3 linked regions of the Caenorhabditis elegans genome follow. The protein of the gene in region 1 interacts with the protein of each later gene in a pairwise test. Each region holds a gene or a part of one and is shown in the gene's direction. Other genes may lie near its edges.

Region 1 (12,547 bases):
GCTCAAGTCAAATCAGGTTTGTCATGAAAATTGTGATTTTTTCGAGAACTCTTTGATTTCAACGGGTTAAACTGTGATTTTCGCTTGATTTAAATAGAAAAATCGAGATTTCCGTCGAAAACTACCCCAAAAATTTACGGCAAAATTTCAATTTTTAGCCTAATTTTATCAAAAAACTCAATTTTTCCCGTTTTTCAGTACGAAGACCCAACGGACGACGATTTCGACGTGGAATTAGGCATCGAATTTACCGAAAATTATCCAGATGAGGTAAAATCCAGGAAAAAGCTCCGAAAAATCGATTTTCAAGAGGAAAATCTGAAAAACTGAATTTTACTGGAAAAAAAATAGAAAAACCGATTAAAATGACCGGCAAAATCTGAGAAAATGCGATTTTAGACTGGAAAAAGCTGGAAAATCTCGTAAATTATTCAAAAGAGTAGAAAACCACCAAAATTGCTTGAAAAATACAGAAAAATCATTAGGAGAAATTTTAGGAAAAAATCACTAGGAACATTTTTAAGGATAAGAATTGACGGTTTTCACTAATTGCAATCAGTAAAAGCAAAAATACCGGTTAAATTCTCTGAAATCAGCCGAAAATCCGATTTGTCGATTTTTTGTGCTAAAAATGGCTAAAAACGCCCAAAAGTAACCTATTTTTCAGAAATTTGCTGAAAATGTCTAATTTTAAGCCAATTTTGCTCTAAAAACCATGAGTTCAAGCCATTGTTAGGCTGAAAATTGCTGAAAATCTCAATTTTCCCTGTTTTTTTTTCAGATTTTCCCCATCAGAATCCTCATTTTCAAGCCATTTTTGCCCTAAAAATCCCCAATTTTTTCCAGATTCCAATAATAACTCTGAATGGAATTGAAGATGCATTCACAGCCGAACGAATCGCCGAATCAATCGATAAATTACGTTCTGTTGCCGAAGAAAATCTCGGAATGGTTATGGTTTTTGCAATTGTTTCAGCACTTCAAGATGAAATTGGAGAGCTTGTTGATGTGAAAAAACGTGCAAAAGAGGAAAAAGTCGAAATTGAGAAAGAGAAAAAAGAAGCCGAGAGCCGCAAGAAATTTGAGGGTAAAAAATGGTTGAAAATCTGTAAAAATCGGAGAAAAATGGACAAAAATTGATCAAAAGACACTGAAAATCCCCAAAAACAGGAAAAAATCCCTGAAAAATTGCAAAAAAAGTGATTTTCAGCTTAAATTCCCCACAGAATTCAATTTTTTCGTCTAGAATCCGCTAAAATTTGCTGAAAATTGTCGAAAAACAGCGGAATTCATATAAATACGTTCAAAACCGCTTAAAACTCGAAAAATCACCGATTTTCAGTGAAATTTTTAAATTTTTATAGGAAAATTCACGATTTTCTTCATCGAAATCGCTAAAAAACGAATTTTGAGCTGAAATTCATCAAAAATAGCATGAAAGTGCCGAAAATTCGGCAAAAATGGGCTGAAAACGCGCCCAAACGGCCAAAAATCACCGAATTTCATGTAATTAGCGGGAAAATTGCGCAAAAACAGCTGAAAATACCAGAAAATGCCGAAAATTTACAAAAATCGGTGAAAATTTGTGAAAAATCTTCGAATTTTACGATTTTATACGGAAAAATTTGTAAAAATCTAAATTTTTCGCTGTAAGACCTAAAATTCATAGGGAAAAGTGCTTAAAATGTTGAAATTCCACAAAATTTCGCGAAATTGGCTATAAAAGTACAAAAAATTCGAGAAAAATGCTCCAAAAGCACTCAAAATTGCTCGAATTTTTTGAAAAATGTCCTAAAAGCCTTGAAAAATCTGAACAAATGTCTCAAAAACTCAAGAAAATGTTATAAAATGGCCAAAAATCTCCAAATTTTCCAGGTACTGTAGTGACACCGGACACATTCCGAGCCTGGAAGGACAGATTTGATGAGGAACGGAAAGCTGAAATTGATGCAGCTGAAAAAGAACGATTGGCATCGTTGGCTGGACGATTAACAGGTGAAAAGCTGTGAAATTGAGCATTTTAGAGCCGGAAAATTGAAGAAAATCGCAGTTTTTCCATGAAAAACGTTGAAAATTGCGATTTTTCAGTGAAAACCTGTAAAAATCGCGATTTTTAACATGGAAAATGGCGGAAAAATGAGGATTTTAGGGCGGAAAACCCCAAAAATTGCAAGTTGCCGCCTGGAAAAACGTAAAAATTGGCGGTTTTCATGCAAAAAATTCGAGATTTTCAGTTAAAAATCAAAGAAAAAGGCTATTTTACGCATGAAAATGGTTAAAAAGTGCAATTTTCAACCGAAAAAACGTAAAAAACCAGAGATTTTTAACCGGAAAATTGGAAAATTGAAGAAAATTGCAGTTAAAATTATCGGAAAATCCCCATTTTTTCAGAAAAATTCACAAAAAAACTCGCAATATCCCGAAAAAATGCTATTTTCCGTCTTTTTAGTGGAAAAAATCATAAAAATCCCGATTCTTGCGATTTTCTACGCCAAAATTATCGAAATTTTGAACTTTTTCAGGCGAAAAATTCATTTAAATCCCATTTTCTGGCTCCAAATCTCACAAAAAATGTGATTTTCCGTCTGAAAATCGCTGAAAATTTCAAAAAAAACCAATATTTTCCAGGACGTCAACTATTCCTTCGTGACGCTACACTCAATCTCTCTGACGTCACACTTATTGGAGCACAAGATGAAGTCGAAATTGATGAGAGCCTCTTTGATAATGAGGTTTCTGGAAAAAACCACTGAAAAATCGATTTTTTACTGAAAATTTACGATTTTCTATTAAAAAATTGCATGAAAAACATGCAAATTCATTGGAAATTGTCGATTTTCGAGTTTTTTTCGGTGAAAATCCGAAAATTTTTTTTTCTTTTTTGAAACGTTCCCTTTTAAAACCTGGAAAAATGTAAAAATTCGCTAAAATCCCCATTTTTTCACTGAAAAATTAGACATTTTTTACTCAAAATTTATTTTTCCATGGAAAACTCTGTTTTTGAGCTAAAAAAAATGCAAAAAATCTGGATTTTTCCGAAGAAAAAGCTTCAAAATTTACAAAATTTGGCATTTTTGGCTGAAAATTCACGATTTTCCACTTTAAAAGTGAATTTTTTGTGATAAACTTCATATTTTCTATCAAAAAATTGAAATTTTCTCACTAAAATTCCGATTTTCTATGGAAAAAACGCCAAAATTCCCACATTTTTCAGTGAAAAGCTACTTGAAAACGCGAAAAATTGCAATTTTATTCCAAAAATTGTTCGAAATTTCGAGTTTTTCTCATAAAATTGATTAATTTCAAGATGAAAATTCGATTTTACTGCCTAAAATGATCAAATTTTCCGATTTTCAACATAAAAAACCTCCAAAAATCCCATTTTTTAGCCTAAAAAACCCCAAAAAATCTCAAATTTCCACTCAAAAAAACCCATTTTTTCCAGGAACTCGAAGGTCTTGAAATGGATTCCGAAGAAGAAGAAGAAGACGATGAAGAATAGGATTTCCCCTCAATTTATTGCATTTTTCTGTGATTTTTCGCCATTTTTTCGGCGAAAAATCCCGTAATTTATCCATTTTTTTGCCCCCCAGTTTTTGTTGATTTTCACGGTTTTTCGTTTCAATTTTTTCCATTTTTTTGCGTAAAGATTTGTTTTAGTTTTAACCTTTTTTTTTGAATTTTTCGCTGTTTTTATCAGCTTTTTTATCGATTTTTTATTGAAAATTTTTGGCGATGAGTCATCAGTTTTTATCAAACTTTTTTGGAGAGTTTTGTGACTCATTTTTACTCAATTTTCAGCGGAAATTTGGTGTTTTGAAGGTTTTTTTTGTAAAAATCGCAAAAAATGCGATTTTTAGCTTGAAATTTCATTTTCCGCTAGAAAAATGTTCAAAATTGCCATTTTTTGGAATTTTTATTCAATTTTTCTACTCAAATTTCCTAAAAATGTCTATTTTCCAACTCAAATTCAGTTTTTTTTTCCGTTGAAAACTGTTCAAAACTCTAACTTTTAAATTAAAATTCAATTTTTTCCATTGAATAATTATTTAAAATCCGATTTTTGATTAATAAATTCAAAAATTATTCACTTAATAATTTTTTCACTTAAAAAAGGTTCAAAAATGTGAAAAAATCCAATTTTCAGCCGAAAAAATCGATATTTCCCACGAAAATTGTGCATTATTTCCGGCTCAACGCGGAGCTGCACCTGTAACTTGTAATTGTGAGTTTTAATTTGCGAAAATCATAATTTTTCAGCTTAAAAGTATGGAAAACGTCGAAAAATGCGATTTTTCTACTCAAAAAAAGCCGGAATTTCCAATTTTCCAGCTGAAAACTGTTAAAAATCGCGTTTTTCAGCTCAAAAAACCCGAAAAATCCAAATTTTCAGATGTCCTACAACGGCTCCTACCATCAAAATCATCATTCAACACTTCAAGTCAAATCGAAATTTGATTCTGAATGGCGTCGTTTCTCAATACCAATGCATTCTGCGTCTGGTGTCTCTTACGATGGGTTCCGGAGGTGATTTTTGGCCATTTTTAGCCGAAAAATCGAAAAATTCAGCGTTTTTTTTTTACCTAAAATACGTCAAAACCCATGTTTTTGACGTAGAAAAACGTTAAAAATTGATTTCTCTACCCAAAAGTTACTGAAATTGTCATTTTTAGGCATAAAATCCCTTAAAATTCAGAAAATCGGATTTTCAACGATTTTCAGCTGAAAAATCCAAGGATTCGGCGTTTTTTGTCCTAAAATACGCGGAAAATGATTTTTTTTACTTGAAAAAATCAGATTTTTTCCGATTTTTACCTTGAAAACCCTAAAAAATCTATTTTCCAAACCAAACTTGGCCAAAATCGGCATTTTTAGGGCTAAAATCATGCGTAAATCGAATTTTCGCCATTTTCAGCCGGAAAATCGAAAAATTCGTCTTTTTTTTTGTGTTTTTTTTTACCAAAAACGAGCGGAAAATGATATTTTACCTGAAAACTCGATTTTTGAAGCAATTTTCCCGTAAAAGTTCAATTTTTCAAGTAAAAATCGATATTTTCAGCCTTGTCGAGAAGCTTCATCACCTGGAAAGTGTCCAATTCACACTGTGCTACAACTCGACTGGCGGTGATCTTCTACCAATCACAAATGACGATGTTAGTAGCGGAAAACTGAAGAAAATTGATTTTTTCAGTGAAAAAAAAAACGAAAAAATCGAGTAAAAATGACATAAAATTGATATTTTTCACTAAAAAATGCTAAAAATTCAATTAAAATGTCTCGAAAATTGATTTTTTCAGCTTAAAGTTAGTCAAAATCGATTTTTAAAACAGCTCAAAAATCGTTAAAAAATAAAAATAATAATAATAAAAAAATCGATTTAATATTCGGGTGTCTCCTACGAGGACAAAAAATCGATCGATTTGAAAACTCACAGAAAAGTCGAAAAAAATCACAAAAAATCAATTAAAAATTGATTTAAAAACTCAAAAAATCGATAAAAATCTCAAAAAAAAATCGATAAAAATCGATAAAAAGTCTATAAAAATCTGAATGTTAGTAGGGAAAACTGAAGAAAATTGATTTTTTCGGTGAAAAAATCGAGAAAAATCGAGTAAAAATGACCTAAAATTGATATTTTTCACTAAAAAATGCTGAAAATTACTAAAACATCACTTATCGATAAAAATCACAAAATTTCGCTAAAAAATCACTAAACATCTTAAAAAATCGATAAAAAGTCCTAAACTACAAAAAATTGATTTAAAAAAATCGAAAAAAGTCTCAAAAAATTGAAACAAAAATCACAAAAATTCGGTGAAAAATCCCCAAAAAATCAATAAAAATCACAAAAAGAATCGATAAAAAATTACAAAAAAACTCAAAAATCGCTTTAAAAAATCAATACAAAACCCCAAGAAATCGGAAAAAATCGATAAAAAATCGATAAAAATCTGTTGAAAAATCACAAAAATTCGGTAAAAAATCCCCAAAAAATCAATAAAAATCACAAAAAGAATCGATAAATTCCTAGAAAAATCCCAAAAATCGATAAAATCCCAAAACTACCATTATTTTTTTTGCAGAACCTCCGAAAATCGTTCGAATCGGCTCGCCCACTGCTCCGTTTGCTCATTCAACGCCGCGGTGAATCATGGGAAGAGAAATATGGTTATGGTACAGACTCTGATAAACGATGGAAGGGAATTTCATCACTTATGGCACAAAAACCACCGAAACGCAGTTATTCAATCTCGAATCCCGAAGATTTTCGACAGGTAATGGGTCTCACAGCGAAAAAAGTGGAATTTTTGAATTCAGCTCGCTGAGAGCTTCGAAATAAGTATAATCATGACCGGGTTACGATGGATTTGAAAAAAGTTGGGTCTCGCCACGAAAAATCGAAACCACAGTAATCCCGTTTCGTGATGGGACCCAAAAATTTCAAATTTCGCAGAACCTAGTCATGATTATACTTATTTGAAAGCTATTGATGAGTTGAATTCAAATTCCGGAAAAAATTTTGAAAATTTCAATTTTTGGTCCCACCACGAAGGAAATTTTCGCTGCGGGACCCAAAATTTTGGAAATCTTCAAATTTTCCGGAGCCCAGTCATGATTATACTTATTTGAAAGCTCTCGGTGAGCTGAATTCGGTTGAACTCATGAAATTGCAAAAATCTGGTCCCGCCACGAAAGTGCCAACCTACAGTAACCCCAATTTCGCGGTGGGACCCGCATATTTCAAAGTTAACGGAACCCATGATTATACTAGTTTTAAAGCTGACAGTGCTCCCAATTCAAAAATATTGATAAAAATCTCAAAAATTGGATCCCACCACCACGAAAATGCCAACATACAGTAATCCCATTTTCGTGGCGAGACCAACAATTTTCAAAGTTCGCGGAACCTAGTCATTCCATTATACTTGTTTGAAAGCTCCCAGTGAGCTGAATTCAGATTTCGCAGTAATTTTCTAAAATTTCGTCACTTTTCGTGGCGGGACCCAAATTTTAGGAGAATTTTCAAAATTGGCAAAACCTAGTCATGATTATACTTATTTTGAAGCCCTTAACGAGCTGAATTCAAATTTCCCATTAATTTTTAAAAATTTTCAATTTTGCAGGTCTCTGCAATCATCGACGTGGACATTGTGCCAGAAGCTCATCGCCGTGTCCGTCTCTGCAAGCACGGACAAGAACGACCACTTGGATTCTATATTCGGTATCGATTTTTCTGGAAATTTCAGATTTCTTGCCAGAAAATCCCAAAAATCTGCAATTCTTTTTTCAGTGACGGAACATCGGTTCGAGTGACAGAACGAGGCGTCGTCAAAGTTTCAGGAATTTTCATTTCCCGGCTTGTCGATGGTGGGCTCGCCGAGTCCACAGGCCTTCTTGGTGTTAATGACGAGGTTTTTAATGGAATTTTCAGAGTTTTTAATCTAAAAATTCCGGTTTTCAGGTGCTCGAGGTGAATGGAATTGAGGTTCTCGGAAAGACGCTGGATCAGGTCACTGATATGATGGTCGCCAATGCTCATAACTTGATTATTACTGGTATATAATCCGGAAATTTGAATTCAGCACGCCGAGAGCTTTGAAATAAGTATAATCATGACTAGGTTAAGATTATTTTGAAAAAAATTGGGTCTCACCGCGAAAATTGCGAGAACCCACTTTTTAAAAAATTTCATTAGAAAATTTGAATTCAGCACACCGAGAGCTTTCAAATGCGTATAATCATGGCTATATTCTGTCAAACTTGGAAAATTCGGGTCTCGCCAAGAAAATGATAAACTACAGTAACCCATTTTCGCGATGGGACCCAAAATTTTCGCATGTGACGCAATCTTGTCGTGTTTATACTTATTTGAAAGCCCTTGATGAGCTGAAAACGAATTTACTAAAAAATTTGAGAAGTTTCAATTTTTGGGCCCGACCACGAAACTGATTTTCGCGATGAGACCCAAAATTTTGGAAAAAATTAGATTTTCGCCAAACCTAGTCATTATTATACTAGTTTTGAAGCTCTTGGTAAGATGAAATCGAAAAATCTAATTGAAATAGCGAAAATTGGGTATCACCACGAAAATCGCTGCCTACAGTAACCCAGTTTTCGTGGTGGGGTCCGAAAATTTAAAATTTCGCATAACCTAGTCTTGATTATGTTTATTTTAAAGCTCTAGGCGAGCGGAAGTTGAATTATTTAACAAAAATCTAAAATTTCAATTTTGGGGCACGACCACGAAATTGGCTTTCGCGGTGGGACCCAACATTTTGGAAAATTTTAAATGTCCGCCAACCTAGTCATAATTATACTTATTTGAAAGCTCGGTAAGCTGAAATCGAAAAATCTAAATGAAATCGCGAAAACTGGGTCCCCCACTAAAATCCCAACCTACAGTAACCCAGTTTTCGTGGCGGGACCCAAAATTTCGGAAAATGTTCAAAATAAACATAGCCTAGTCATGATTATACTTGTTTGGAAGCTCTCAGCGAGCTGATTTTAAATTCTGTAGTAATTATAAAAAACAAAATTTTCAGAAATTTTTTTTCGAAAAAAAAATTTCAAATTTATTTTTTTTTTGAAAATTCAAAAAATCCCAATATTTTCCAGTAAAACCTGCCAACCAACGAAACACACTGTCACGAGGACCGTCACAACAAGGAACACCGAACGCCAGTGAGATGTCGGCCGCCACCGCAGCCGCTACAGGTGGAATTCAGCGCCCGATGAAAATGAACGGAAGCTCCGACGGCAGTTATCATCCGAAACAGCACGACGCAAATGATTCGGACAGTGGAGAGGACTGAAAAACTCTTTTCAGCCATTTTTCCTCGATTTTTTCAGAAAAAAAAACCACAAAATGTGACCATTTTTATACATAATTATATTATTTATATTCTCGCTAAAACCACACACACACACAACCAAAACCGCTTAATTTATTTATTTTCCCCTTTTTCTCCTAATTTTTAATCAAATTTGTCGGCTTTCTCTTCACTTTTTTGCGCACAATTTTCACTTTTATTTCCCCCGTTTCTCGCCCCAAAATGTGCCTTCCTTTCGCCCTTTTTATGTGATTTTTCCCCTTCAGAGCTCTCTGAGCCCATACTTTTTTTTTCGAACTTTGGCTCAAATTTTTTGACAACAGACACGACATACAATTTTTCCCCTGAAATTCACATTATTAGTGAGAATAAATTATTTATTTCAAGCTTTGAGAGATCAGCATTGTGAAAAAAATGTTGCCATTACGGGGACTCGAACCATGGCCTTTTGACTGGAAGCTTTTTCGTCGAAAATCCCACTGCTCCATTTGGACATTTTTGACAATTTCCCAGAAATGACATAATTTCGGGTAAATTTGAATTTTATTGAGTTCTTGACGATTTAAGGCTTTAAAAACTGAGAAAATCTACATTTTCAGCCGATATTCCGCTGATTATTCTCAAATTCTTATTTTTCAAGGTTTTTCTCTGCTGTTTAGGAATTGATATTATAATTTTTGGGTTGAGAATTGAAAGTTTAGCCTAACAACACTATGGAAAAAAGTTTGCCACAGTGGAGACTCGAACCACGGTCCTTTGACTGGAAGCTTTTTCGTCGAAAATCCCACTGCGCCATTTGTACAGCATTTTTGAAAAGTGCCCAGTAATGAAAAGTCTGTAATAAAATGTTACCTTTGAGTGATTTTTTGATGATTTAATGTTATAAAATCTGTGCAAATCTGAAGTTTCAGTTGATTTCCTACAAGAATGAGAAAATTCGTAGTTTTCCGACATTTTTACACTTTTCAGCTTGGGAAACATTGTTTTTTACACTCAGCGCTCTTGAATTAGTCATATACACTCTAATAAAAATATATGCCACTATGGGGACTCGAACCCTGGTCTTGTGAGTGGTAGCCGTCGAAAATCGCACTGAGCCACTCGGACAAATTTCTGAAAAACAGTTTGAAATTCAAAATTTTGCCTTTATACTCGTATTTAAACGAGTTTGAAAGCAACTTCCAAACTTAAAACCTCTGAAATCCGGCGTGTTTTCAGGTGATAATTCTCTTACACACTCATTTTCCGGTCAGTTTGCCCCAGTGACACATGTCAGTCAGTTTGTCAAAATTTGCAACACGTCGCTCGTAAACACACGAGAAGTCGAGAACACTCAAATCCCTTTCCACAACGCTCCACTTCTCACTCACTATTTTTTTTTTCGGCGGCCGTTAGGACCCCAACAGCGAGGAGAGAGAGGGGAGGCTTCATATATTGGCCCCGCTCTGTTGGGTTCTCATAAATTTTTGAGCACAACAATACACCCCACCCGGGTGGGGTTAGTGCTTCCCGACAATTTTCTATTTTTACTCCTTTTTTTCTTGCTCAGAAATTTTAAATTTTCCACTTTTTTGTTTACTTTTCGTTTATAGTTTTGTAAAAATAGCTTTAAAATGCTTTATGTAAAAACAGAAAAATCTGAAAATTTTCGAAAAGTTGTCCCAATGGCGCAGTGGGATTTTCCACGAAAATCTTCCAATCAGAAGTCCGTGGTTCGAGTCCCCAATGTGGCAACTTTTTTTTTCAATGTTCGGCTAGGCTAATTTAAGTGCGCAAATTTCGAAAATCATAGTAGTTTTCAGAATTTTACACTTCCTGTGCAGTTTACAAAAAAAAATGTCCAAGTGGCGCAGTGGTATTTTCCACTAAAAGCCTTCCAGTCAGAAGACCGGGGTTCGAGCCTACACTGTGGCAATTTTTTTTTTCAAAGTTCGGCCAGGCTAATTCGAGTGCGCTGATTTCAAAAATCGTAGTTTCGGCAAATTTTGAAAGCGGCAACTAATGGCGCAGTGTGATTTTGCTCCCCCTATCAATCCAATCCCAAAGACCGGGGTTCGAACCCCCGTAACTGCAAATAATTTTCTTGCTCATTTTTCTCACTATGTCTATCTCTCACATTAATCGTGTTGAATATCTCAAGAGTCAAAAAGTGTACAATGGGGGGACCCCACCATGGGGTGGGGCTCAATGTGTTGGAAGAAGCGGGAGAGGGGGAGCAGAAGCACATTGAGCCTTCCGATGCACGAAAAGATGAGGAAAAAGAAAAGAAGGAGTTCGTAAATCGATGCACTTCCTTCAACACGCTGCGTGTCCGCCCAATTCCACACTTTTTCGTCCAGCCAGAGCCTTAAAAGGAGGGGGGGGGGGGGGGGGGGGAGTCGCTGCTCCCCCCTCACACCATATACATAGGGGTCTCAGAAGACGACACAGACTGGTTTAGAAGAGGATGGGAGCTCTAAACCACAATACGATGAGCATCAGCAGAAGCAGAAGCTCAATTTTTCGTTGAATTTTTTTTGTTTCCGGAAACATCTTGAAAATCTCGATTAAAAATGCCTAAACTAACTTATGTGGCGCAGTGGGATTTTCGACAAACACCCATTACAATTTAACGACCAAGGTTCGAGTCCCGGCAGTGGCAACTTCTTTTTTCTAGGTTTCAATAGGTTGATTCATACAATCTGAGCTTAAAAATTACAGCGCTTTGTACTGAAAATGTCTGAAACACTAAAAAAAAAACTTTTTTATGATAGCCTAATATTTTCTGAAAAAAATATTTTTGTTAGTTTTCATAAGCTTAAACACTCAAAAACTATGTGAAATTTACATTTTAGAGCAGTTTTTAATGGTGCGTCCATAGTCTGCGGAAAACGGGAATTTCCTGCGTGCGGAAGCGTCCATAGTCTGCGGAAAAACCGGAGTTTCCTCGCTTTTTTTTCCTCAAAATTCAAAAAAGTAGGCGTGGTCTGCAGTTGTTTCGCTTTCCCATTGCTCAGCTTAAAATTTTACAACCTCTAATTGGTTGGACACGCCCACTATTTTGAAATTGACCAATAACAAAGCGAGAAACTCCTTGTTTTTTTTCCGCAGACTATGGACGCTTCCGCACGCGGGAAATTCCCGTTTTCCGCAGACTATGGACACACCATAATTTTTACACCTATTTTTTTAATTGCACAAGTGGCGCAGTGGGATTTTCGACAAACGCCCCTGAAAATCTAATGACCGGGGTTCGAGTCCCCACTGTGGTAGCTTTTTTTTCAAATTGTTACTAGACTAATTGAGAGGGTCTCAATTAGAAAAATATTGCAAAAAGCCTCGAAAAACATAAAAAATTTAAGATAAGTCAGTTTTCACAGTTTTTTACCCTACCAAACTAAAAAATGCCTGAAAATGTATGTTTTCACAGTTTATAGGTTTAAGATTCTTTTAAATGGTCAATTTCCAATATTTTTGGACAATTTTCGAAATATTGCCCGAATGGCGCAGTGGGATTTTTCATATCTACCAATCTCAAGACCAGGGTTCGAGTCCCCACCGTGGCACCTTTTTTAATAATTTTTTTTTAATGTGACTAGACTAATTCGATAGTGCTGAATTCGAAAATCATAGACTCACAATCTGAATATGAAGAAAAACCGAAAACTGGTTTTCCAAAACTGCCAATTTTTGGCTCAAACCTCCGACAATTAAAATCCTTTCTCACAAAGTGCTCA
Region 2 (9,832 bases), on another chromosome or scaffold:
CGTGGCACCTTTTCTGTTGGTCAGTCCAATTCTCTCTTCTTTCAAAACCTGAACCCTTGGACCTAGGCATAAGTTTTCTCGAATCCCTGGTGTAAGGCATGTTATAGTTGACCTTAATAAATTAATTTTTGAAAAACTTTATTTGCTGCATACCTCAAGGTAAAAGGAATATCAATTCCATCTTTTGTGGCCAAAGCAGCTTGGCGTTTAAATCTTATAAACTCGCAATTAATCGAAGAAAATTTCAATAGAAAAATAAGAAACACAGAATAATATGTCATGATAGTATTTGTACGATTGATACCCAAAAACAGAATATTGCGTAACGCAGAGGCGATTCATTGCGTAACAAACAGGTTCTCCTTGGAAGCATATGCTTTTTGTAGTGTGAGTAGTGATAAAGGTCATCAAAGCGAGGGAGTCATCTTGAGGCCACTTGTTCGTGTTCACCCGGTCATTATTTGTTTCTGGTTCGATTCTTTTTACTGTCGCCCTCAATCCGTCGGCTACTGACCTTCGGAAGCGTCGGGTACATCCCTTCGTTTCCGCATCGCATTAAGTGCCATTCTCACTCACATATGTTTCTTTCTCGTGTGCCTTTTTTTATTAGCTGCAAACTTCGCAAGCTATTTTACTATGCATACGGCTCTGTGATTTGAAAGTTTAAACTCGATTTTGAAACCTTCTTTTCTTTTGGCTCAGTTTTTTGGATTTATTTTATTTTTGGTGGAGGTGTTGGAGGATTTGTTGACTGATATTGACTGAAATTTTACGTTATTTTAAAAATTTTGAATTCAGAAGCATTAATAGTAATTTTTGTCAAAGACATGAGCACCTGTTTTTTTTGTTGCAACATGTCAACTTTTGAAATGCAGAAGTGCCATTAATATTCAATCTACAACAAATAAGTTTTATATTTTTATAGTTGTTCAGGGCGACTGTTGTACAGAAAAGTTTAGCTTATTTTATGTAGAGTGACTATGTTTTTAAAAATAAATTTTCGGTCAAGAAACTGTTTAGATGATCTTTGAAGGTTCCAGAATGGTATTCTGTAAATCTAATTTATGATTTTTTCTAGTTTTATCACATTTCAAATCTCTTTCGGCGTGATTTTCGTGAGTTAACTTTTTAAATCAATATTTTAAAAATGTTAATGTTGAGAAAACATTTTATTTGGGTCAGTCTTTGAAGTCTAACCTCTGAAAAAAAACCTGGAAATCATATGCTCCAACTCTGTTCACTGTTCACTGTGTGAAAGACAAGTTTTCACAGCGAACTTGAAAGCCGCACCCATTTTGTATGCCAGCTGATAACCTTCTTATCCTTTACTCATCCTTGTGTGTTCTCACATGCTTTCTCATTCGTGAATTGGAAGAATCCCACAGTTTTCCACATTCGGAATGCAATTCAACTTTTTTTTGTGTCATGATTATTGCCGTCATCATCATCACCCGCCCGCTAAGGCCCCTTTCACAAATAACGAACGGTTTGGTGTTGTGGCCCATAAAAGTACCGAGCAAGGTCAGTCGGCGAAGAGAGGAGAGACGGTGTTATTCATGCATACCTCTACACAAATAGTGTCTCGGTCAATCGGACCTATGAGTCTCATTGACATTAAGTTGAGGTATGAACGTCGATGGCAATACCTCGCCTGCTCTTTTTTTTTCGATAAAAGGCAATTAAAAATATCTTTCTTGTAGATTTTTAAACTTTCGGAAAAGCAATCGTAGAAAAGTGCAAAAAGTTGATTGTTCAGTTTGAGCTTTTCCATTCAGGCTCTCCGAGCATTTGACAAGCCGCGCGAGCTCCGCTGGTAACTCACTGTTTTTCTAATATCCAATCGCGCACCGCTGCGCCAATCTCTGTTCATTTCGTCGTTTGCCAGCTCAACTAATAGTCGGGACAGCACCCACTTCATATAACTTATTGACACGACTATAATTTGTCATTTTGCTTCTCCAATCCATCTCATGAAATATGTGTGTCGTGGCGTCAAGTTGGCATATGCAATGAGGTGATGGCTCTCTAACTCTTGTGCAATACAGCTGGTGCGCACTGACTCAACCTTCTCTTTTTTGACATTTTACATTAGGAAAATGCCAATCAGAAAGTGTAATGGTACACAATATGTGACCTATAGTCGGTTTTAGTTTATTTTACGCCGAAAATACGGTACCCGGTCTCGACACGACAAACTGTTGTTAAATGCGAAAAGGGTTGCGCCTTTAAGGAGTACTGTAATTTCAAACTTTCGTTGCTCAAGAATTTTCATTGAATTTTCATAGCGTTCCCCACATATATGTATTTAACAAAACATTTTCGTATCGTATTTTTGGAAAAACGCAAAATTCCGCGTCTGATTTTAAATCACAAACCGACAATAAGGTTTTCCGAATCCAAGAAAAATTGAATTTTCCCCAAAAAGTAGAGCAATTTATTTTCAAGTCTTTCCTGTTTTTTTACAAATCCATCCCAGCACAACTCGGTGTTCTTCCAAAAACTCGTCTCCTCCAACATGCTCATTATAATGGATCATCATCTTCTCTAGAGGATCCTCTGTGTGACTTCTCCACTTGACAAATTGCCCAAGTGGAAATAAAATAGGCACATTTGGAAATCCTTGGTGAGCACTGAGAGAGAAAATAGAGTAGAGAGAATCCAAAAATGTAATTGGATAACCACCTTCCTCCCGTTCTGTCTTCCAGAAATGTCCTCCCATTTTCCCAGCAAAGGTTTCATTGTTTGTTTTGATATCAAAAATTCATTTATTATTTAGCTATGCGATGAGCAATGCGATGACTGCGAATTCAGTTTTAAGGCCGCTTTTTCTTAAATAAAATTTAAAAAAATTTGTAGACTTGTGAAATTGAGAAATACAGTAATCATTTTTCGGAACAGATGGGTACGGTACGCATTCGCGGCGAGACCTATCGCATGGCGGGAAATTTTTTTTGAAAATTAAAATCTGCAAAAACTTCAAATTTTTAGATTGTCTATTGATTTATGTGCGATATTTTGAGTTTTTTCTCATTCCGTCAACTAATTCTCGTCCAGAAGATCAATTAAGCTATTCAGATCTTGAAAACACGAAAAAATCCGATTGAAATCGGAAATCGGGCCGATTTTTTTCAGAATATTGTTTTTCGAGCTGAATTTGTCTGCGCAAAAACAAAACTTAAAACGCTGAATTTTTTGTATTACAGATTTGAAAACTCAAGAATAAAATCACTAAAAAGCTAATTTTTGTATCCTTTTAAAATTGGCGCGGGCAATTCGGACAAATTTTTAAGATTTTAATGTTTTCCCGCTAAATTCAAACTTTTTTCCATCGCTGAGCACACTAAATCATTTGCTCTTTCTCTCTTACTGTTACTTACTTCACAGACACACCAATCATTTTCTTATCACTCTAATATATATTTTCTTGCAGATAGAAAAGGTCTCGCAGAGCAAATAGGTGCGAAACGAGAGAGCCTCTCGGGAGGAGAAACGTTGATTGGTTTGTTAAAACTTCTTTTCATTTCATTTAATTTTTCTTTATATCTGCTCATTTTCAGATCGATCATCATGTCGGCTTCATCCACGTCATCATCTAGCACATCGTGTCCGGAAGGTGGCGAACCATCGGGAAGCTGTAAAAGCAGCGACGAGGGTGAATCGACACTGAAAAAACGAATGCAACAGTACGGAATTGCGAGTGGTTACGCGAATTCCTCAATATCTACACTTGATAGAGTGCGGAAGTTTTTTTTTCTTAAAAATTGGAGAAAAAATCTTGAATTATCTTTCATTCACGCTTCAGAAATCTTCAATTCAAACTGTCAACAGTTCTACCCGATTTTTGTTTCAAAAAAATGCTTGAACTGCTGAGAATTCCATTTCTGCAAATTTTCATACTGCAAAAATGCGCATTTTAAAATGATTTTGTAAATTCAAATTTTTAAGTCAAAATCCGAATTTTGTACACATTCTATTTTTGAGTTGGAAAGTTTAAGATCCTTTTCAAATTTGAAATTTCTGGCTTTTTCGATTATAACACCGAAATCTGGAATTATTTTTTACTTTAAAAAATGTGAAATCCATTGAATATTTGAAACCTTGGTTGTAATTTATAATTATAAGCAATATTTTAATTTTTCAGAGCCAATATCAATCGCTTCCACTGAATGGAACTCGCCGAGTCACTGTTCAATTTGGACGAATGAAAATTGTGGTACCATGGAAGGAATCGGTGAGCTTTTTTTTCAAATGTTCAATCAATTTTTTAATATTTTTCTTGTTCAGGATCAGACAGTTGGTCAACTAGCAGACGCAGCACTTCTTCGGTACAAAAAAGCGAGGGGAATGGTAATTTTTTTTCTCCAAAAATTTGCAGAAAAAAGGTCATTTTGGAGGCAAAAAAGCGTATCCCAAATTTTCCCATGAATACAGTCAGTCGGGAATAATGAAAGGAAAATCAACAAGAAGCACGCAATTTTATCTTCGTCTTATTCTCTTCCAATATTATTCCATTCCCGAAGAAGCAGCAGCCCCCTTTCGTTTTCTCGGAGAGGTTAATTCGGCTGAGAACAAGGCCGCACCGATGAGGATGTGTTGAATACCATTTCTCTGTTCATTTTCACCAAATAATCCCCTTCCTTTTCCGCTTTGGAGAAAAAGAAAGTTTGGAAGAGACGCAGACAGTGTTACAGTGTGTTGTTGGCACACAACACTGTAAATAATAGATATTTCTTCATTCTCTCTCATAAGTGACTGTCAAAAAGTTTTACTATTTTGTGGAGTTGAACTGTGGTGCTCTTGGATTTTTATTTAGTTACTCCTGATCTTCTCACTTTAAACATTAAGACTTAGTGGTTATCATCCCAATTTATATTTACTAAGCAGTAAAACATTTATCTTGATTGAATATCCAATGATCGCTTCATTTTCTTGAAAATCTCTACAAATTGAAGGCAATTTTCTCCTCTTGGACCACCAACCATAACTAGCGAATCCTAGCCAAAGAGGGATTAATTTCCAAAATGGATTCTGGTCGAATTTGACTTTAATCGGCGTACGCTGTGCGGCATGGAAATTCCGGAGGCCGTCGCCTCGTCCCGATTGGATTTTGCAATTTGCAATAAACGGATTGATTTCGACGCGCTTGGTAGATTTTTGTTTATATAACATGCATTGGTCTCTCACCATGTTCACTTCATGGCGGATTTTGTACGAATCTCTTCCCCCTCATCATCATCGTCGTCGATCATCATGCTTCCTGTTCGCGCAGGTTGTAGCATTCGTTTCGCAGTAAATTAAGTTTTCCGCTGTAGGCAGGCAGTTGATCTAAATAAATCTGATAAGAATTTATTCGAAGGCTTAAGATTTGTTATCTCTCTCTCTCTCTCTCTCTCAGTTTTGTTGATTTAGATTTATTTGACGTTGAGGACGATATAATCATTATCAGCAGCAACAACCAACTTGAAATTAATCAAATGGAATGTATAGTTGGACGTTGTGTAATAGGAGTACGAGTAGAAAGTGTGAGTCAATTGCAGAAATTAGTGTTTTGTTAGGAAGTTGGGCGCCAGTTTTAAACCCGCCGCCTACACTTTTGATATTACGATGAGCACGGTTCAAAGGCAGGAGTTTTTTTTTCAGCCGTATCAGACTTTATAAATTTTCCATTTACTAATTTGATCCAGTTTTTATGGTCATGTAACATGTAAAGCTGTGTTTAGTCCCAGCCGAAAAGAAAATTGAACAGAACTCAAAGTTTTCGTGTGACTAAAAAAATATGGTGAGTCACCTTGGAATGTTTTTGTTCGGTTTTGAATTTCAATTCAAAAATTGTGAACAACTTTGGCGTTATTCATAATTGTGGAAGTTTTGAATTTCAGTTGAAAAATGAAAATTGTGATGTGAAAACCTTGAATTATTGTTCCTTTCAAACTTATTGTATTTGACTCCAAAGGCCTCCGAATAGCTCCAGAACATGTGAATTGGCAGCACTTAAAGTTGTTCATCTATCTCTATCTCTCTCTCCTCGCCATCATCGTGAAATAAAGCACCCCCTATTCTACATGCAATGTCATAACACTCATATCTCATGTTATCGCCATCCTCCGCTGCCACTACGAATCATCTGTTCTGAAAGCAGCTTTTTTTCGGGTGGTTTTTGTATTTTTCTTTACTGATAAACAGCTTGTGTTGTTGTTGTTCGCGACGAGAACAAATATCATGGACATTTTACCAACTATTGAGAAGATAAGAAGAAATGGTTAGGAATGATGTGTATATAGACATCTTCCCCTTTCTATCTCTCTTCCCTTCTCTTCCGAGTGTTTCTGTTTCTATTTGTCGTTCGATCTGATGATTGTCGTCATTTTTTCTCAGCCGCTCCTCTTCTTGATGCCCTTGCGCAACCCCACCGTGGCTTACTTGTTGGGGGGTCTTGGAGCGAAGAGCACACATAAATGATATGAGTCATTCCGTACAGTCATCCTGTATTCTTCTTGTTCTCACAGTTTACCCGTGCTCGATGCCTTTTTATGGTGCAGCTTCGGGCCCTCTCGTACATGAATGGGTACTGTAGCTGTTATGACCACTCGAAAAGTACTATATTCTTCGCTCTCTTCCTTTTTTCCGCTTCTGCTTCTCGGTTGAGTACACCTTGTTTACCTTCTGTGTGTGTCTGTTCGCTTCCTCGTGTTTTTCGCTCGTTACACATCACCTTAAAAAAATTCTGAAACAGTGAGCTTTTTCGGTTTTTGGGAAAATTATTGCATTTTTCTGACTTCTCAAACGAGCCTTTTACAACATCAATTCCGTTCCATCTGACCCTCTCTGAATCAAAACGAATATAAAATTTCCAACACACTGCCCTCGTCACATCTGTGATTCGTACCAGCCGGCTCTTCCCATCTCCCTTTCTATTCTCTATTCTTCAATTCCCATGATTCTAGTTCAAAATTGTTGAATACATTATTTTTGTTGTCATCGTGTTCATAATGCGATTATTTCTCGCATACATAAAACAAGTTCCAGTTTCCCCGTGATTTTTTGCACGGAATCATGAGAGTTCTTGATAGTTTTCCGGAGAATATAATTTTGTATACATCGGATTTTGCAAAAAAATTACGTTGGAAACCGATTGACATTTTAATTGTGAATGAATGAAAATTCTGAAAAAAGGCTTGAAATCTCAGAATAATGGTTTTTCAATAAAAAATGTCACTTTTTGAAGTCAATAAACCTCTCGTTATCTGGATAAAAATCACTAATTAGGCGGCTTACACGTACCAATTACAAGGTACACTTCTCTTTTCTTGTTACTAATCGCAACTCAACATCTGCTCTCTCTCATGTTTTCCCATCTCTACCTCAGTCCTTTTTCATCATTCCCTCCTTCTACGGACATTGTCGTTCATCATAAAAAGAAAGACCTCCATCGCTTTTTCACCTACGCAAGTGTATGAGGTGAAAATAGTGTGGCTTCTCAGAGAGACGCAGGTGGTATGCGCAATGACCGTGCTCTCTCTCTGTGTCTCTCTTTCTCTTTTTTCGAACTGCCGAGGAAGGACATCAACCTCTTTTGGGCAAATACCGGTTGAGATTCTTTATTATTATTATTATTATTTGAGGCTCTCGGTACATTGTTTGGTTTTCTCTTTCTTTCTCTGTATCTCTCTCTCTCTCTCTTTTTGGATTCATCCGTCATCATGTTTTGAAACACGCATCGGCTATAATTTCAGCACATGCATAACGGTCGTGGTGGTCGATATGACGTTTGCCCTCCTCCACCACCACCACCCTATCACTTTAACCATGTGCATACACCGCCGTCAAAAGTCATCGTCCAGCAGCAGAAACAGCAACAAAAAGCTCATCGAGAGCCGCCGCCGAGCTATCCTGCCTCCAAAATGACCACCACAAATGATAATGTTACGGTTAGTAAGAGAAATTTTCAGGCAAACGAAGATCGGATACACGTACACCGACTCGAGTGCGCGTCTGATGGTGGAATTCTCGATATGGATGATGTTTTAGAAGAAGTTTTTGATTTGAATTATGATCAGGTCCGGAAAATTCGAAGATTTGAAGATGAAGAAGAGCATTAACGAGATATATATAAAGTCGAAATTATAATTTTTCAGATCCTGGCAATCACTGATGAAGCTAATGGCGGATCAACTACTCCAACGTATTCTCAAATTCAAAAACAACAGCATCACTATGCACAACCTCTACCATATGCTAGGAAATTCGATGGAGGACCATCAACACCGATTGCGAGTGCTTTTGGTGAGTTTTTTAATGTTTTAATATTTAAGTTATCCGAATCAGCTGAAAGTTTATGCGTTTCCAATTTTTTTCAAATATGTATAACTGAAAAACTTTATAAAAGTTAAGAAAAAAACGACGAACTGAATTCACCATTTTTGAATGACTAAAATAATGTTTAACTCTATTTTTAATTGTAAATTACCAAAAAGTAGTGGATTGAAATCTACAGTATTTTTAAATTTTTATTCAAAAATATGCAAAATGAAATTATTCCAAAATATGCTGAAAAAGATTAGATTTTTTCAGAAATTTTTTTTGTTAACTTTAGAAAAAAATTGAAATTTCCTAGAAATACAATCTATTTTTTAATTAGTTGAAATTAATTTTAACAATCAAAAAAAAATCAAATTTTCAACGTTACACTTTTTGAAAATTTCCTTGGATTTTTCAAATTTTTTATTCAAAAATTTCCAATTTCCAGGAAGCGTAACTGTCAACCATCAGGCTCACCGTGCTGCATCTCCATATAATGTCGGATTTGCAAGAAGCAATTCTCGAGACTTTGCGCCACAGCCAACACATTCGAAAGAACGACGCGACTCGGTTGTCGAAGTGAGCAGTTTTGATCAGATTCCACAATCTGGGCTTCGAGTATCGACACCGAAACCGAGCAGACAATCGGAGGATGTTATAGACGGAAAACCAATGAATCAACCGATTCTGCGATCCTCACTTAGAACTGAAGCTTCAGGAAGTCGTACCGAAGAAGCGACGCCTGTAAAACAATCCAGAGTTACGTTGAGCCCAGAAGTTGAGAAGAAGCTCGCCGAGCAGGATGAACGGAAAAGTGAACGTAGGAAACATTATGATAAGAATCCTGGACGATTTGCGAGAGGTTCTGATCGAAAATCAAGGATAACTGATGCTCTTTTGGATGCTCGTGACAGAATCGCCGATCAACTAGAAAGTCAGAATCCAGCAGAAGAGACGAAAAGTCAGATGATTCGAGTGAAAATTGATCAAGGTCCCATGCCAGGAACGTCGCTTGTCACTTTCCCACCGATTCCAGAAAAATCAGAAAACGAAAAGCAGTTGGGAATAGAGGTGAATGCAGTATTTGATGAATCATCTGAACTACCGGGAACATCAGAACCTACTAAACTTAGTTCTGTTCAAATTATGAAGATCGAAGATGGTGGTCGAATTGCAAAAGATGGACGGATACGAGTTGGTGATTGTATTGTTGCAATAGATGGAAAACCCGTTGATCAGATGTCCATTATTCGAGTACGTGCTTCAATCTCAGATCTTGCGGCGGTCACTTCACGTCCAGTTACTTTGATTATCAATCGATCATTGGAATCATTTCTTGAGCAGGAATCGTCGGCTAAGCCAATTCAATCGGCTCTACAACAGGCGAATACTCAATATATCGGGCATACGACAGTTGTTGAATTGATAAAGAGTAGGTTTTGTTTCAGAAAATTGCAGCTCAAAATTTAAAATATAGAAAGTTGTTCTCAAATTCTATTTTCAATAGAAAAAGTTTTTTGTAAATTTATAGGAG
Region 3 (9,904 bases), on another chromosome or scaffold:
AATGACAAAATATGAAAAAGGTATGGAGAAAATGAAAAGAGCCGAGGAGCAAGTGGCTGGAATGCAAGGGGAACTTTTGAGACTACAGCCGCAACTGGTGAGAACTTCAATTGAAACTAGGTGGGTTGGAAGGATGCTTATACTTGAGTGAAAACATTTTTCAGTATGCTCATGAGTACAATTGAAAAAGAAACAATAGATGTTGAGAATGCACGAGAAGTTGTGGCAGCTAATGAGAACAAAGCAAATGAGGCCGCGACGAAAGCACAGTCACTAAAAGTAATTTTTAAGGGTTGATACGCAATCATACAACTTGCTTCAGGAGTTATATTTTTGAGCCGATGGGGTCATGCAACATCAAACTTAATGTAAATAACTATGAAATTTCATCGATTTTTCAAAAAAAATTGGAGTTGTACATCAGATCCAAAGCTAAAAAAATTTAGCGATTTTTCAATTTTTTCAAATTTTGTTCCCAAGATCAATGGCACCTTACACTGATTACCTAGCATAACAGGAGTTCTCAAATTTGGTGTAAAACTTCTTTTGAGCAATACTTTCAGTGTTGATATTTTCAGGCAGAGTCAGAAGCCGAGTTAGCTTCAGCAATTCCAGCACTGGAATCAGCAGTTGAAGCACTCGAAACAATGACTCAAAGTGATGTGTCCTCTCTGAAAACAATGAGATTTCCGCCGTATGCTGTACGTCTTTGTATGGAAGCTGTTTGCATTCTTCTTGGAGTAAAACCCGCAAAAATTACCAATGAAATAGGAGAAGTTGTGAATGATTATTGGGTTTCTGGACAGAAATTGCTATCCGACATTCATTTTCTTGCCAAAATTCGAAGTTTTGCAAGAGACACAGTCAGTAAGAAGACTGTAAAGTTAATAAGAGAAAAGTATTTATCGAAGGAAGAGTTTGATCCAGAGAATGTGAAACAGTGTTCACTTGCAGCGGAAGGCTTATGTAGATGGGTTTTGGCAATTGATATGTACAATCAAATAAGTAAGATTGTGGAGCCAAAAAGAGAACGATTGAGGAAAGCTGAAGTATTGGTAAAACAGCATTTAAAACAATTGGAGGTCAAGAGAAAGGCACTGTTGGTATGTTTCAAATAATTAGAAAATTTAAGGAAATCTTGTTATTTTTCAGAAAGTGACGGAAAAACTTCAAGGATTATCCGACCAGTTCAGTCAAATGTGTCAGAAGAAACAAGAACTGGAATCTCAGATATCAAGTTGTGAAGTTCGAATGGAAAGAGCTGAAAGGCTTGTTCAAGCTTTGAGTGGAGAGAAGGATAAATGGAAGAATAAGATAACATATATCACTCATGAAGATTCTCTCAGTGTTCCTTATTCTGTTGGATCCTCCTTGGCATTACATGTCTTTGGAAAACTTCCAATTGATCAGAGAGAGGTGAGTTTTTGTTTTTGAAAGTTGAAGAGGATATATATAACATTTGAATATTTTAATTCAGAAAGAACTCCGCAAAACGATGAGATCATTATTCCCAAGACTGGAAGTGACTATTCCATGTGATCTAAAGACTCTGGTTATGCTTGTGGAAGATCCGATTTGCTTTGTGAATGATGATAATCGAGCATTTGAAATTTTACAATCGAAATTCGAGAAAATCGTTGTAACAAACAAGTGGACAGAAGTTGAGAGGCAACAATGTCTAACATTGAATTCATCGATTTTGTTTGAAAACTGCATGGAAAATACTCGAATGGTAAAAGAAATTGAAGAAGCTGAATATTATAGTCAGATGGAAGATGAAATTGTGAGTTGTCTATGACATAATGAAACCGGTAAACTGGAATTTAATTATAGGTATTTAAAATTGGGAACGCCCACCATGAAGTGAATAAGAATTTCCGAGTGTTCTTCCGAACTAGGGCATCAGAAACAACTTTGCATAATTCAATAGTAATAGATAATCGGTATAGTGATGAAGAGCTCAGACATGAGATTTGTGAAACAATGGGTTCATCTAATTGGTTTGAAACTTTGAATCATTTTAATGAAATGGTTGAATCTCGAAATAATGATATATCAATGATGGAAAGTGAGCTGTTGAATTTGAATTTCCGGAATTAATAGTTTCGATTGCAGACACCGAAAATGAAATGTTGGACTTATTGGGAAGATCCAAAGATTTGGATGATGAGAGAGCAATTGATTTATTAGCAGAAGCCAGAAATCTACAAGCTTCCATTACAGCAAGAAATAAAGAAATTGCAGAAGTATGAACTACAAAATTATTGAACACAAATTCAATGTGAATTTCAGATCGAAACTTCTTTACGAGCAATTGAAGGAAGAATGTCAGAGTCAATAGATTATTCGATGAAGATTATTAAAATGTGTTACTCACTTTATCTTTTTGACCCATTCTATAGAATTTCTTTGAAATCTCTGGTCAATGTTTTGAACACGGTACTTTTGACATTAATTTTCTCCTCGGAAATCTGAAATTTCAGAAACTTTTCGATCACATCAATGACATTAAATTTAGTGAGATTGGTCACAAAATATCAGAATTATATTGGAATTTTTTACGCAATATGTTGGCCTGGGACGATAAAATGATAATTCATCATTTGTTATTTCATGGAATGAAGTGAGTATTAAATATGGAGTCGCGCAACTGAGCACAGGGATCCCAAAAGAAAACATTAGAACTCGATGAAATGAACTGTTTCGACGCAGTTTTTTCCAACTCAACACATTTTCAGCTACAAAGTGGATAAAATTGAAATGGAAATAAAAGATAGAATCAGTATGGATAGCTTCATGAATTTTTCATCATTTATTCTAAAATCTGAGCCAAAACAACCGATACTTTTAAAATATGATGCAGAAGTCTACACAACAATTCTTCAGTTTGGACAAGTGACTAGAAATGCCAATTGGAGGGTTTATTCAATTCTTGATCATGTTTTCTTGTGAGTACTTTTTACTTTTGGGAAATATATTCGTAATTTCAGAAAGTTGGAAAAGCTTGTCGATGAACCAATTTGGCTTCTGTTGAATGTGAATAGAAGCGATCAAGAAACAGTTTGCAAACTGAAAATCATTTTTGAAAAGTTGAAGAATTTGCCGATTGTTCATTCTTCATTTAGAATTATTGTTGCATATTCCGACGAGATTTCAGCTTCTGATGAGGTACACCGTATTATTTTGTTCTACATATAATCCAGAATAACTTTACTTTTCTGAATCTACTTTTTTCCAGCTTATCGAAATCTCATCCCACCGCTTTTATTTTTCCCGTTCGACTTCATTGGCACAGCAGATTCGTAGAATTCTTGCAAATTTATCATTGAGAAGTTCTTTGGACAAATCAGAAGAAAGTCAAAGAATTCAAATAATACGATTGATTTCATTTCATCGAGGGTTAAAGTTACGACGGCTTTATGATCCAGAATTCAATGTAGTAGTTGATGATGCGGATCTATTGGCAATGATGAAGCTGTATCAAGAATTGAGAAATTTGAGTGATCAGCCGAATGAATTTCAAGATTTAATGAAAGTTAAAGTAAACGTTATTGAACCAATATACTTCCCAAAAACAAGATGCCAGGTTCAAAAGAATATAATCAGCGCGATGATTCAATGGATTGTTGAAGCTAATTTATCAATTCCAGCAGATACTCTTTTGAAAACTATCATTAAAGAAGATAATCATAACTTTGTAAGTTCAAACTTTTTTAGAACCTTTATCTAAGGCTTACACGCAAAAAAGTGTTTTCGGTATACGATGCAGGACTAACTAATTGTAAGAAGACGTTTGTGCCTGCCTCGTACCCGCACGAACGATACACGTGCATACTGGTGGCCTATATAGCCCAATAACTTAGTACAAAATAAAATTTCGGTTCCTTTGAGTCTCGAGACCTATAGGTAGTTACAATGCCTATAGGCATGTGGATAGGCATGAAATAAATACCCTAAACATCAGTATTTTATAAAAATTATTTCAGGAAGATTTCGCGCATTTCATGCAATCTCATGAAGAAAGTATCCTTTGTGGATTCAATGCTCGAAACTCTAGAGAATGTCGTGAACTGATGTACAAGAAAGTAACACAAAAAATAAAAATACTTTTTGAGCCGAATATTGGAGCAACTCAGCAAATCGCTAAGAAGATTGAGTTGGTAACATGAATAATTCCGCTTTAAAATTTAGATTTTAAGATCAAGAAGTTGGCTATTAGATGTGGAAAATGGCGAACGAGAAGTTGATGGAAGAAAAATAAACAATCTCACCGAAATTGTTTCTTTTTTGAAAATGCAATTTTGTTTGAAATATAAGATTGGAATTTCAGAAGTGAGCCGATTTTCTGCTTAGATTTTCTAATATCCATTAATATTTCCAGGTGATGGTGACCGGCGAATTTGTGAATGAACACTATGATCTTCCCAAACTAGGATCAGATTCCGACGTTCCTTTGCTGAAAATGTCGCATTGCGTTCTGATTTCAGCTCATTTTGTGAATGGAGAAATTCGAGTACATAGAACTACTTAAACAAGACTAGAGCAATTAATTTAATTTTCAGGAACCTCAAAATCGTCAAGCCCAATATACAACTGTACTTCTGAAGACCACAAAAAGAACCGGAGCAGGGAACCCAAGAAGCTTGCCAGTTATTTGTCCATTTTCACAGAACGCAGTGACTCAAATACCATTTCATTCACAATTTCCAATAGCTCATTGGCATCTTCGTGGCGCATTTGTAACAACTTCCAGACAGATTTGAATTTTATAAAGAATGAATTCGTGGTTCTTTTGTAATATTAAAAGTGTTTTTTTTCCAAAACATGATTATTTTTTCTCCGTAAATATTACAGCTACCGTAGTCGGGCGTTTGGTCTCGCCACGTAAATGCCGCTCTTCAACATATTTGAATATAAACGTTGTTTTTCTTTTGCATTATCTTTTTCGTTTCGTACGGCACTGATTTTTTATAAAATACAAACTTTGTAAAACAGAAAATAAAAAAGAAAACTCATTTTATCTCCGAAAACTTGTTGCTCGTCTTTGTCTTGTCTCACTTTAAAATTTACTGCCCCGCGCAATTGACGTGTCCGTTAGAGCGCGCTTGCATTATTTTTTTAGTTTCAAAAAAAATCGTTTCTCGTTCTTAACAAAATCGTGTTTTTCTTTTTACGTTCCGCAACTAATATGTTTAACAAGTTTCTATATTTTCAGAATGCTCAAACAACTATTGGCTTTGACTTGCATGCACAAAAAAGATAAAAATAAGCTTGCAATAACTGCTGGAACCGCAGAATGTTCGAACAGATCTCCTCAAAATTCACCGGGATCTTCCTCTGAAGGCGCTGCAGACGAATCTCTAAATCAGAGTGTTGCTATTCCGGTTATAATGCCAATTATTTTCTCATTTAAAATATTATTTTTCAGGAAGAAGCTCATCTGAACACTTCACAGTTTATTTCACTTCCCCTCTCCGACGTCTCATTTGAAGCCGCTGCATCTCAAAATCGAGCTACACCGATTGATTTTGGTACACGAGAAGTGAAAGAAGATGACGATGTTCTCAGTAAGTTGGAGCTAATCGTTCATTTTTAATGTTCCATTTAAGGTGACACTGGTCGTCGTCGAAGCGTTAACTTAATAACGCCTTCTCCTATTCCAGAAGAAACCGAGGATAACTTAACAGAAACGCCTATTCCTGTAGTTGAACACATTCCAAGAAGTGCAATTTTTGAACCTTTCAATCACGAAAATTCTCCTTTGTTCTCCGTGAAGGCACGTAAGGTATGCACGTTGTAATTTAAAACGTCGGCGTGTAGATTTAATCGATAAAAAACGAATCATTTCTCGTTTTCAATCTACTCGTCGTAATGAAATTCGAACAAATAATGGAGTTCTTCAAGAGAAAATTTCAGAAAGCTCATGAATACCGCTCCAACGATTCAACTCTCAGTCCTTCATCATCTTCCAACAATGACGACAGTATCCGGATTGACGTAAGCATCAAAATGATTAAATCATTTTTTTTAGTTTAAAATTTACAGAGTATCCGTGTCCGTTCATCAAAATCTGCAACGAATAATCAACTGAAAGGACGGCTTACACCAATACTAGGAGGGTCCCTTCGCCCGATTCCAAAAAAGTAAAACTCTTTCAATAAGTTCTGATAATTTAATTTCATTTTTAGAAGGAACCGAGTCGCTTTCAACGGAAATTCTACATTTGTCGCACCGGAGAGACTATGCTTGGAAGTTGATAAAATACATCAAGATCGTTGTAGGTTTTCCTTTGTACTAACATTATGTGTTCCTTATGCATGATGTTTATTTGATTAAGACGCACCGAAAACGGGAAGCTTAAAGTGTTGACAAATGTTAATAATGGGTTGAGGTTGGGGGAAGTGGGCAAAAGTAGCCACTCTACATGTATCGTAATCTGTACTATTGGATAATCGGGGTTGACCTCTTTATATTTTGTATTTTTATGCGATATGCAATTGTCCAACTCTTTTTAACTGCTGTGTATTGCTTACCATTGTTTTCGAGGCTTATGTTTCTATTAAATTTACATCTAGCCCCATCGACGTCAGGTGTGTGTTTATGCACTTTTATCTCAGAAGGGAACGTCGTAGATTCTTCTATCTCTTAATATCTGCTGGTCATTTCTCGATTCATCGGCTGTCGTGGTCATTTATCAGAGCTTGTCAGTCTATTGTCCCGGTCACTCGAGTTGTCTGCTCCTCCTTTCTGTGCTCACGGACCTCCTATAAACTCATAGATCTCACCTTTCCTCGTCTCAATGTTTCTATTGTCTTCTTCAATTTCTTGCATTTTTCAATTTGCAAACCTTCCTGCATGCTTTCATGCTTTCGGTAAAATTCGAAAAGTTAGATTTTTTTAAAGATGACTTCCTAGAAAATAAGTTGAAACTAAACAAAATAGTTTGGCCAATTTCAAATCAATATGGCTTACCGTTTTGATATTTCAAAAATAATTATCCAAATTAAATTTACATTTTTCAATGATATTCTCAATAATGTAACTTTAGTTAGTATCCCACCAGATGTTTTGTATCTTTGACATTCTCCATCATAAAGCGTTATGAATGTGGTATAATAGTTGTATAGAATGCATTGAGAATGTGCCCACATCCTGTGACATCTTCAGTTGTCTTCACATCTTCAGACGCCAGGGCGTTACAACCACCTGCCGATATGTGTCTGCCCGAATTTTCGCGCCTTCTTTTTTTGAATTTGATTACGATTCTTCCAACTAGTTGAAAGTAGTCTTCCAAGCAATGTACTTCAAGTTTCTTTTTGTTTTTGCGTTTAAAAAGTATGTTTGTCTCAAATATATTTTGACTAATTACATAAATTAAGAGTTGATAGTACAATTAGATGTGAATATTTTTGCAAAATCCATCAAGCGAATCCATCAATATCTGTCATCAGTGTAAAACATCGGCAAGTATCAATACATGCTTTGGTTTTTTTCTTCTCCTGAACATCTCTACTTTTCATTTCGAAAAACCTTTCTTCTTCAACTTCTCTGTTCATATCTTTATTATCTCGAGCTCTCATTGTTCGCTCTTTTCCAGATTTGCTGTTATTATACTCAAAATGAGTAATGAACGCGTCTCAACTGGGTCTCTAGGAGAACGGTTGATGCTTCGTACTCGAAGTACACGAGGATCCGTACGAGAAACATTGTCGAAAGCGATTCGTTCAACACTCGGAAGAGCATCCTCAATGGAACGGAAGGATATGCCTGATCGTCCAAAGTATGGTACTGCGCTCACTGCAATGACCTCTACAACACCACCTTCACCCAAAGATAGAAGTTCGGATAGTGGAGATGGAGATTCTCCAAGACCCAGAAAATTTTCGAGCAAAGTGAGTTCTAATTCCTAGACTTATTCATTACATTCAAATTCACTTTCTAGGAATGTGCACGGATTTACTTCAGCAACACAAGCAGTGAACATTCTTCTCGATCGAATTCTAGTACTCCTCGTAGGGTTAGACATACGACTGCTTCATCTGGTTATGGAAGTCTAAGTCATCTTCCTCCAATCTCGTATCGTAAAAGTTCGGACCCTCTGAATTCGTTAATGTCTCAAAGCATGTACGTTCAATCACCAGGGATGCACATCGACGAACCAAAATGTACTTCGTTGTCACAAAGACGATTATATTACGAGGATTCTTCGGAAACGTACATACCATCTTCTCCCAGTTTGACAACATTAAAGGATTTCATGATGACCAATGACGATGAAACATTTGATGACTTTGATTTTGACAATGACGATGTCAAATCAGTGATTTCTTCTGCATCAACCAGTCGAATTTTCTCCGTAGACAATAGAATGTCGAAATATCAGAAGAATCAGTCACTCCGTCAGTTTTTAAATTCTCCAGGTATTGATTTAGTTAGAGGTATTATATATTGCAACTGTATACCTGATACTGTAATTTATGCAATGTCTTGATCTAACTGTAGGTATCTTTATTGTGAAGATATTCATCCACACTGACGACAAGTGTTCTCGTTGTCTAAATGTGTTTTCTTGAAAAGTTTCTTGCCGAAAGAACAATTCCCAGTGGATTTATTGGGTCCTCAAGTCGTTGATGCGTCTCTTGTGTCTTGCGCTCAAGTGCGTGCGAAGCACACGTTCATTATAATTTTCTGACAAATGGCTGCTCATAACGTGTCGTCGGCGCTCTTGTGTTTGTGTGTGTGGTCGCCGGCCGAAACAGCCGACGTCGTCCGGTCCCTCTGGATTTCATGCGTTATCTCTGTGGGTTCACGGGCTTCTCTAATGAGTTGAAGGAATCACAAAAAACGCACTTCTCCGAGCATCGGAGACGCACAAGTTGAATTATGATAGACCGATTGAAACGTGCAGTATAACGAGGAAGAATAGGAACCGAAAGAGCTGGTGGGGAAGCCACACCCCGTTAGTCCTCGACAATTTTGCAAAGAATTATTTCTATTTGCAATCACATTCAGCACACAAAAGAATTCACAATTCCAAATGTGCAAAAAGTAAACCGTCTAGAATTTTTACTTCTAAAAATATGCTTCAACCACCGTCCCCTCGATTAGGAAAACGAAATATTATCAAAAATGTAACTGGTAAGTCTAATTTTTGTCCGGAAAAATATGTTAATCTATGAAACCGTTCCAACTTCAATTTGTGCTCAGTTACCAAAAATATTACTTCATCGAACATGAAATCGTTAGGTTTTTGTGTTCATTTGAAAAATAATTCGTGACAGCTGGCTCTATCCATCTGGCACTAAAATTTGGAAAGAGATGTTACAGTTCATTTTTTATTCTCAATCGTTTCATCTTGATGCAGCTGTCACCGAAAGGGTCAGTACTCTTGGTTTTTTTCAACTTTGCGTACAACTCAGCACCTGTGTGTACTTCCCGATACGGAGCATCTGGTACTGTGTCTGTTACGAATGGGTATGTATCGCATTCGATCGGCAGAATGGTTGTGCGCAAGGCAAGCAACAACAGCAATAGCTGTCATCTTAAAGTTGTAAATCATTCGGACGTTTTAGCGTATACTCATATCTCTTTTCCATTGTCTGCAATTTGCTTCAAACATTTAATGTCAGAATGAAACGTTAGGAGATTTTATGAATGGCATAATTTCCAACTGCTTTTCAAACCCAATTTGGACTTTTATGATTTGAATCCTAGCATGCCACGTTTCCATGTTCTATTTGCCAATTCCTACTCGGCGTTTGCCGCCAGCTTCCTACCCAAGGCTTCGCAACTTCTTACCCAAGCCTTGCCCAAAAAATAAAAACATTTATAAGGAGTTGCCAAGACTTGGGTAAACCTTGGGCAAGAGTTGGGCGCCGCCTCAAAAATGAAAAAAGTCGGGGAC

The links.
Region 2: the proteins of par-6 (region 1) and par-3 interact in a two-hybrid assay, tested with the Caenorhabditis elegans proteins (2 studies listed by BioGRID).
Region 3: the proteins of par-6 (region 1) and noca-1 interact in a two-hybrid assay, tested with the Caenorhabditis elegans proteins (2 studies listed by BioGRID).

The regions. Positions count from the first base shown.
Region 1 is NC_003279.8:12,665,233-12,677,779, forward strand, and holds par-6 (Partitioning defective protein 6), read left to right. Parts: upstream 1-4,147; 5' UTR 4,148-4,225; intron 4,226-4,393; coding exon 4,394-4,527; intron 4,528-5,059; coding exon 5,060-5,153; intron 5,154-6,083; coding exon 6,084-6,275; intron 6,276-7,022; exon of another isoform or gene 7,023-7,088; intron 7,089-7,124; coding exon 7,125-7,222; intron 7,223-7,291; coding exon 7,292-7,412; intron 7,413-7,462; coding exon 7,463-7,556; intron 7,557-8,616; coding exon 8,617-8,813; 3' UTR 8,814-9,215; downstream 9,216-12,547. Other genes in the region: T26E3.4 (RWD domain-containing protein), read left to right, coding at 1-16, 199-270, 847-1,087, 1,876-1,995, 2,629-2,732, 3,446-3,502. UniProt on the Caenorhabditis elegans protein: Necessary for apicobasal and anterior-posterior asymmetries associated with cell adhesion and gastrulation during the first few cell cycles of embryogenesis. Required for localizing/ maintaining par-3 at the cell periphery.
Region 2 is NC_003281.10:5,660,805-5,670,636, forward strand, and holds the start of par-3 (PDZ domain-containing protein), read left to right. Parts: upstream 1-3,428; 5' UTR 3,429-3,499; intron 3,500-3,557; 5' UTR 3,558-3,567; coding exon 3,568-3,735; intron 3,736-4,141; coding exon 4,142-4,231; intron 4,232-4,284; coding exon 4,285-4,347; intron 4,348-7,736; coding exon of another isoform or gene 7,737-7,949; coding exon 7,950-8,057; intron 8,058-8,135; coding exon 8,136-8,283; intron 8,284-8,725; exon of another isoform or gene 8,726-8,746; coding exon 8,747-9,730; intron 9,731-9,832. Other genes in the region: F54E7.6 (uncharacterized protein), read right to left, coding at 1-112, 154-281. UniProt on the Caenorhabditis elegans protein: In cooperation with pkc-3, required for establishing cell polarity and regulating spindle orientation in the early embryo. Localization is crucial for recruiting par-6 and pkc-3 to the peripheral apical cortex and restricting par-2 to basolateral surfaces.
Region 3 is NC_003283.11:13,147,704-13,157,607, forward strand, and holds the start of noca-1 (Non-centrosomal microtubule array protein 1), read left to right. Parts: upstream 1-5,215; 5' UTR 5,216-5,216; coding exon 5,217-5,384; intron 5,385-5,428; coding exon 5,429-5,567; intron 5,568-5,609; coding exon 5,610-5,785; intron 5,786-5,916; coding exon 5,917-5,997; intron 5,998-6,045; coding exon 6,046-6,143; intron 6,144-6,188; coding exon 6,189-6,277; coding exon of another isoform or gene 6,278-6,321; intron 6,322-7,082; exon of another isoform or gene 7,083-7,223; intron 7,224-7,619; coding exon of another isoform or gene 7,620-7,892; intron 7,893-7,942; coding exon of another isoform or gene 7,943-8,420; intron 8,421-8,564; exon of another isoform or gene 8,565-8,776; intron 8,777-9,080; coding exon of another isoform or gene 9,081-9,138; intron 9,139-9,904. Other genes in the region: dhc-3 (Dynein Heavy Chain), read left to right, coding at 1-120, 165-279, 579-1,103, 1,153-1,416, 1,478-1,783, 1,834-2,068, 2,116-2,246, 2,293-2,439 and 8 more. UniProt on the Caenorhabditis elegans protein: Plays a role in the assembly of microtubule arrays in the germline acting redundantly with ptrn-1 to control circumferential microtubule assembly along the body which is necessary for larval development, viability, and morphology and integrity of the epidermis.